2 linked regions of the Rattus norvegicus genome follow. The protein of the gene in region 1 binds, or shares a complex with, the protein of each later gene. Links are inferred from orthologs where the notes say so. Each region holds a gene or a part of one and is shown on either strand. Other genes may lie near its edges.

Region 1 (3,816 bases):
TGCCCTGTAGCACAAAAAAGGTTCATGAAAAATTACACGCAGTTACAAACATTTAAAAGACCTGTTTCTGTTTCCTTGTAGACAAAGTATTTTTACATCACCCCTGGCATCTGCCCAAGCCTTGCCACTATGAAGGCAATTGTGGAGTGTGCAGGGGGGAAGGTGTTAGCCAAGCAGCCGTCCTTTCGGAAGCTCATGGAGCACAAGCAGAATAAGGTGAGAGAGCAGAGCTCCAGGAAGCCAGGGCTGTTCTACGTGGGTGCTTCTCTCCCTCACTCATGAGCTCCCTCTCTCTTCCTAGAGTCTGTCGGAGATAATTTTAATATCCTGTGAGAATGACCTGCACTTATGTCGAGAGTACTTTGCCAGGGGGATAGGTAGGTATGGCTCCCTGCACCTACACTGACCCGAGTGTCCTCAGTGGCCTTTCCTAACAGTTTTGGTTTGTCCCCTGCAGATGTTCACAATGCGGAGTTTGTTCTGACTGGAGTGCTCACACAGACACTGGACTACGAATCATATCCTTTACAAGGGCAGGGTGCACAGGGGACGGGGGAAGCTGGAGACACATTTGCAAGCTGAAAACAGACATGATGGTTCTGGTCTGCAGACCTTTCTCTTGCTGTTATAGGTGACCACCTAAGGACCTGTTTGGCTTATGTAGATGTTGAAGGATTTGACCATTTGACTCCATAGAAACTAATGGGAGTCCATGGCTGGGGCTGTTCTACACTCCGCAGTCATGAGTTAGGAAGTGACACAGCTTGATAGGCATTGTAGTTAAGGCACAGGTGTGCTGGGTATGGCATTGTAGTTAAGGCACAGGTGTGCAGGGTATGGCATTGTAGTTAAGGCACAGGTGTGCTGGGCACGGCATTGTAGTTAAGGCACAGGTGTGCTGGGTATGGCATTGTAGTTAAGGCACAGGTGTGCTGGGCACGGCATTGTAGTTAAGGCACAGGTGTGCTGGGCACGGCATTGTAGTTAAGGCACAGGTGTGCTGGGTATGGCATTGTAGTTAAGGCACAGGTGTGCTGGGCCCAGCATTGTAGTTAAGGCACAGGTGTGCTGGGTATGGCAATGTAGTTAAGGCACAGGTGTGCTGGGCCCAGCATTGTAGTTAAGCCACAGGTGTGCTGGGCCCAGCATTGTAGTTAAGGCACAGGTATGCTGGGTATGGCATTGTAGTTAAGGCACAGGTGTTCTGTGCTGGGCACAGCATTATAGTTAAGGCACAGTTGTGCTGGGTATGGCAATGTAGTTAAGGCACAGGTGTGCTGGGCCCAGCATTGTAGTTAAGCCACAGGTGTGCTGGGCCCAGCATTGTAGTTAAGGCACAGGTATGCTGGGTATGGCATTGTAGTTAAGGCACAGGTGTTCGTGTGCTGGGCACAGCATTATAGTTAAGGCACAGTTGTGCTGGGCCCGGCATTGTAGTTAAGGCACAGGTGTGCTGGGCACGGCATTGTAGTTAAGGCACAGGTGTTCTGTGCTGGGCACAGCATTATAGTTAAGGCACAGTTGTGCTGGGCCCGGCATTGTAGTTAAGGCACAGGTGTGCTGGGCACGGCACAGGTGTGCTGTGTACCTGTTGGACAGCTAAGGCTCGGGCTCCCAGGAAAGAAGTTTGCCAGTTTACAGTTCCTCTCAGAAAATCTCAGGCATTAGTTTTAGAATGACACAGATTCTAGAAAGGAGGTTTTACTTTATTACACAACTGGCCTGGCACCCTGTGGCCCAGGCTGGCTTCACAGGAATCCTCTTGCTTTCACCTTGAGTGCCAGGATTGCAGGCATGAGCCACCGTGCCCAGCTGGGGTGGTTACTTTAATGTGTGAACAGCCCCCAGGTCAGAGTGATATTGTCCCTGGCCCTTCATCTGTGTGGTCTTACCCAGCTGAGTGCATTTACCAAACACTTCCTCTTAGCACCGAGAACTCAGTAAATTGAGCTAGAAGACCCAACTTTGTGGCCAGTAGGAGTGTCTGGCAGGGACCCTCCTCGAAGCAGACTGAGCTGGGGAGCGACAGGAGGCTGGTGTGCTGTAACATCTGGTCTTTACGCAGCACGTTCTGTGGGATCTTTCCCAGACTTCTCCTTGCACTGCTTACACTCAGAACATCTGACCCACGCTTTTCCCATTGGTAGGGCTGCTTTTCCGGTTTCATCGGTCAGCTGAAGGCCCATCCCCACTCCTGTAGCCCAGTGGTTCCCAACCTGTAGGTCTCAACTCCTTTGGGGTCAAATGAACTTTTCACAGGAGTTGCATGTCAGATACTTACATTACAATTCATAACAGTAGTAAAGTTACAGTTATGAAGTAGCAATGAAAACACTTTTATGGTTGGCGCTCACCACAGCCGGAGGTATTAAAGGATTGCAGCGTTAAAGTGTTGAGCACCACTGCTGCCCTCAGTGTTGCCCTCATAAGACACTTAGATTACAGTTCTCTTAAGGACATGTTTTTGTGGTGGCTTTGGGGATAAGAAACCAGGAATGTGCCTTGGATTAGGCTTTAGCTATGACCTAAGAAGGGTGCCTTCACCCATGTGTCCAGTAGAGAGCCTGTGCCTTGGGTGTCGGAGTTTGCAGCAGGACAAGGTAACTTGGATGCAGGAAGAGGTGATCTCTAGAACTCTCTTCCAACGGGGCTCTGCTTAATGTGACCCCACTGCCTTGTGTGTAAAAACCATTTTCCTCAACAAGGCCACATATAAATTTAACTGATGGCCTCTTGGTGCTGCTAGCCTGGAGCCTGGAGCACAAGGGCAGCTGCTGGCAGCGCAAACCAGGACTCCCTCCCTGCAGAGGGCTTGTTTTCCAGCTCTGCCTTAGGGAGACATGAAATACTAACTGCATCGTGTTAAGATGTGTGACCTTATTCTAGGAAACATAAATTATGTTTGTATTATATGCCTAAGAGCCCACATTAAGTCTTCTGATTAATTTGCCAGGTTTTTAATGTGTTTTCAGAAAGCTGTATGAAATTTCATCTACAAATAAAAATGATGTAAATAAAGACTTTGCTGTCTAAATTATGGATGTTAAAGATATGAGATGTTTTGTACTTTGATTATTTTTATTTCTTACTTTTCTTTTATATTGATAACTTGCTCACATTTAAATAAATGTACTTTTGAACTTAGTAGAATTGAGTGATTATTTAAATTTCCTATTCTTTGCATAACATAAATAATTTTCAACAAACTGAGAAATTCCACAGCAGAATAATTTTGAAGTAACTCTTCTCCTGGAGAAATAAGTTTTGATGTTATTTCTTCATAAGCAGTCACCCTTACTTACCCAGCCTGGGCAGAGCCCCCAAAGCACAGTCTCCGTGTCCTCCACCCACGTGTCTCCCAGCCAGCCCTGATCTCTGGGGACTTCCCATTGGACTGTTTTGTATAGTTCTTATCTGCACACACATTCTTCTGTTAAACTGAGACGTTCCTAGTGGCCAGAGAGCTGCACCGGCAGGCGGAGTGTCCGTCTGAGCAACCTGAGACACTCCCTGCAGAGCTGGCCTTCATCTGCTGGAAGTTGTCACTATGAAATAGCCAGCTCCGAGTGTGGAAATTGGTGGGAATCGGGGTGAGCAGAAGAGCTCTATGTACGTGCACAGCGGGTTTGCCAGCACGCCATGTGCTGTGTCCCAGACCCTGGAAGAAGGTGGATGTAAGTTCAACAGCATCTCTGGAATGTCAGACATCTGTCACCTGGCAGGGGACAAGATGTTTCTTTAACAGAAGTATGACCAGTTTGATTAACCTTTCAATTGGCATCTTTTGAAAGTTGCCAAGGAATATGACTCGAGGAG
Region 2 (3,138 bases), on another chromosome or scaffold:
CCAAAATTATAACTCCTGTCATCCAGCAAGAAGATGGTCCAGAGGATGACCCACAGTTGGTTGGAATCACTGCCCGGAACATTCCAAGAGGAGCCCAGCTAGCTGCTGAGAACCTGGGCATCAGCCTGGCAAGCTTGTTGCTCAACAAAGGAGCTAAGAACATCCTAGATGTTGCACGGCAGCTTAATGATGTGCGCTAACTGGCCTGCAGGGCACAGGAACCGAACCCCAGCTGTCACTCCAGTGCCTATGTCTGGCTGTCAAGTGCCCTGTGCTCCTTAACAAGGGGAATGATTATCCCAGGAGATTGAACCAGAGTTGTTGAGACTTCGGCCTTGGAAGATATGCCTCAACTTGGGGCCTCCATGACTGCCTTTCCCTCAGTAGTTTGTGGGCTTCATCTCTTTAGAGAAAGTCCATGCCAATCTTTTAATGTAACCAATGCCACTAATCAGTTCAGAATGTGGTTCTCCTGGAGTTGGGGGAAGATATGAATAAACCCAAAGCCCTTTTAAACCTGAATTCTGAGTCTGGGACCTTTCTGTTGTAAAACATCCTGATCATTCTCAACCAAGCAAAGAAACTAGCCTTCATCCCTACAGCCTGCCTGTCTTTAGTTAACAGGATCTTCACATAGCCTTTCATTCCCAGTGCCTGCAGAAAGGAAGGTAAGTTTATCCTCTAGTCCCACTCCCTCCCACGAGATGTTCTGGGCACATGGCTCCTCGACTATGGAGCTGTAAATGTCCAGCCCTGGGACTACAGCATTCAAAGTTAAGTTAGGCATTCAAAATTAAATCAGACACTCCGTTTAAAAAAAAAAAACAAACCAAAAACGATCCTTTAATAAAATTAGCCCATTGAATCTCCCCACTTCTTAAGGTTCTAAACTTGTAATAGCTGCAAAAGTTCCAGTTCAGAAGCCAGAGGCTCAGTCCAGACAGGGATTCACCGACTTGTGCTGGTATCTGGGTGTTTGGGTTGTAGTTTGAGTTAAGGGAGAGGGATAGCTAGGCCCGGCTCCTCTAGTCTTCTGCGGCAGGTATACAATTCTTCTGTCCACAGGCCAATAGGCGTTCCCTGACCCTTTCCAGTTTATCTTGGAAAAATTGGCTTCACGTTATAACATGCCGGCCTACAAATGACGACAGGGTCAACTGGTTTGAGAGGCCAGTAAGGGGGACACAGAGTGAAACAGTATGATCCGCTTCTCACCAAAGTCCGGCAATCAACTCACTTCTGAAAGGTCCAGGAGAGGGCTAAGCACCAAGCTGAAAACGCTGGGGTTGTAGCTGCGGGGGGGGGGGGTGGTGGTGGTGGTTAACTAACCTTCAAGCCCACCTCGGCCGTACGTCATAGCAAAGGGCCGAGATTTCTGGAAGGTGGAAGGTGCCGCAACCTCTCCGCACAGCCCGTCGACGACTGAGAACGGCGAAGCGATGTCACGAGCTCCGGGATGGGTAGGTGCCCCGGCGCCCGCGTCCTGTGGCAGACCCGGAGGCCGCACAGGGAAGGGTAAAGACGCGAGGACTGAGAGGAGAGAATGGGATGGGGACGCGGCGGGCCGGAGCCCGAAGTGGCTCAGCTCTTTCTGTGAGGGAGGTGGTGGCCCTTAAAAGGGCCTTTGTGGAGGTGGGGGAGGGCTGGGCAGCCGCGGCGCGGGCTCCCTCAGTACTCCTGAGAGGCCTGGGAGGCCTTCTTGCCGCCCGCCGGCGCCTTGGGCCCCACGGTGGCGCTGGTCTTCTTGGGCAGCAGCACGGCCTGGATGTTGGGCAGGACGCCGCCCTGCGCGATAGTCACGCCGCCCAGCAGCTTGTTGAGCTCCTCGTCGTTGCGGATAGCCAGCTGCAGGTGGCGCGGGATAATGCGCGTCTTCTTGTTGTCCCGAGCCGCGTTGCCCGCCAGCTCCAGGATCTCGGCAGTGAGGTACTCGAGCACCGCCGCCAGGTACACGGGCGCGCCTGCGCCCACGCGCTCGGCGTAATGGCCTTTCCGCAGCAGTCGGTGCACGCGGCCTACCGGGAACTGAAGGCCGGCGCGCGAAGAGCGCGACTTGGCTTTGGCGCGGGCCTTGCCGCCGGTCTTGCCGCGACCCGACATCGTGTGCGAGGTAGAAGGGCTGAGAAAAACGCCAGGAGACAAACCGCCAACCGCCGCAGTCAACTGTCGCCTCGCGCGGGCAAGCTCGCCCTTATAAACTCTCTGGACACGCCCCCGCTTCCGCCTAATTGGTTCTTTTTTTAATACCCACCTCTGGTTGGTTGCAATTAACCCTTCGGTGACGCGCCATAGCCGAGAGAACGCGCTCAGCGATTGGTCCAATTTGAAAACCTTTTACCCGGGGAAGAAGACAAGGCGGAGTGGCTGCAAGCCAGAGGCGAATCACCCTTGGAAATGGCCAATCAGTATAGAGCGCGCGAAATTTAAACGCTACGGCGCGCCCACAAACCCGAAGACTAGAAGGGTGGAGCTTGGAGCTACCTCTATGGTTTCTGGGAAATCTGAGCCGGCCTGTGGTTTTAAAGGAAAAGGGTCTTCACTGTAAGCACCTTTCTCCTTCCAGGTTAGGGCACTTCCTACTCCCTCCTCTAATCTGGCAAAGGGAAGGGTTTATTTATTTGCTTGTTCTTTATTATTATTTTTGGGTTTTCGAGACAGGGTTTTTCTGTGTAACTCTGGATGTCCTGGATCTCTCTGTAGACCAGGCTGGCTGCGAATTCTGAGATCTGCCTGCCTCAGCTTCCCAAGCGCTGGGATTAAAGGCGTGCACCACCACCATCTGGCTTTTATTTTAATGAGACAGGGTTTCTCTGATTAGCCCTTGGTGCCCCGGAACTCAGAGATCCGCCTGCCTCTGCCTCCCTTGTGCTGGGATTAAAGGCTTGGCTGAAAAGGGAGGGTTTAAAATGAAAGAAATGAAACCTTCTGAGAGTTTAATCCTGTGCCAGAAAACGGAGCACCGTTATCCATTATGCTATCACAAGTTTGTGCTGTAATATTTATTTGATATGTTCTGTCTGGTCTCAGTATGTGACAGACCTCTCTTACAAGAAAGGGTCTGAGGGGAGCAGGGGTAGGGATCCTATTGGAAAAGGTACCCACTCTAATCCTTTCAATCTATTCTAAAATGCCTATATA

Evidence for each region.
Region 2: the proteins of Paxip1 (region 1) and H2ax are in contact, whole or in part, in a crystal structure (PDB 3SQD), measured with the Homo sapiens proteins. The link is inferred for Rattus norvegicus from reciprocal best matches to the Homo sapiens genes PAXIP1 and H2AX. Residues at the interface, in NP_031375.3 of Homo sapiens: Phe871, Thr872, Gly873, Phe874, Pro876, Lys907, Thr909, Arg910, Thr911, Val912, Lys913, Pro986, Glu1050, Leu1053; in NP_002096.1 of Homo sapiens: Gln138, Ser140, Gln141, Glu142, Tyr143.

Annotation. Positions count from the first base shown.
Region 1 is NC_086022.1:8,307,347-8,311,162, forward strand, and holds the end of Paxip1 (PAX-interacting protein 1), read left to right. Parts: intron 1-81; coding exon 82-216; intron 217-301; coding exon 302-377; intron 378-457; coding exon 458-518; coding exon of another isoform or gene 519-582; exon of another isoform or gene 583-2,709; coding exon of another isoform or gene 2,710-2,710; coding exon 2,711-2,726; 3' UTR 2,727-3,144; downstream 3,145-3,816.
Region 2 is NC_086026.1:53,567,748-53,570,885, reverse strand, and holds H2ax (H2A.X variant histone), read right to left. Parts: upstream 2,169-3,138; 5' UTR 2,101-2,168; coding exon 1,669-2,100; 3' UTR 814-1,668; downstream 1-813. Other genes in the region: Hmbs (porphobilinogen deaminase), read left to right, coding at 27-200. UniProt on the Homo sapiens protein: Variant histone H2A which replaces conventional H2A in a subset of nucleosomes. Nucleosomes wrap and compact DNA into chromatin, limiting DNA accessibility to the cellular machineries which require DNA as a template.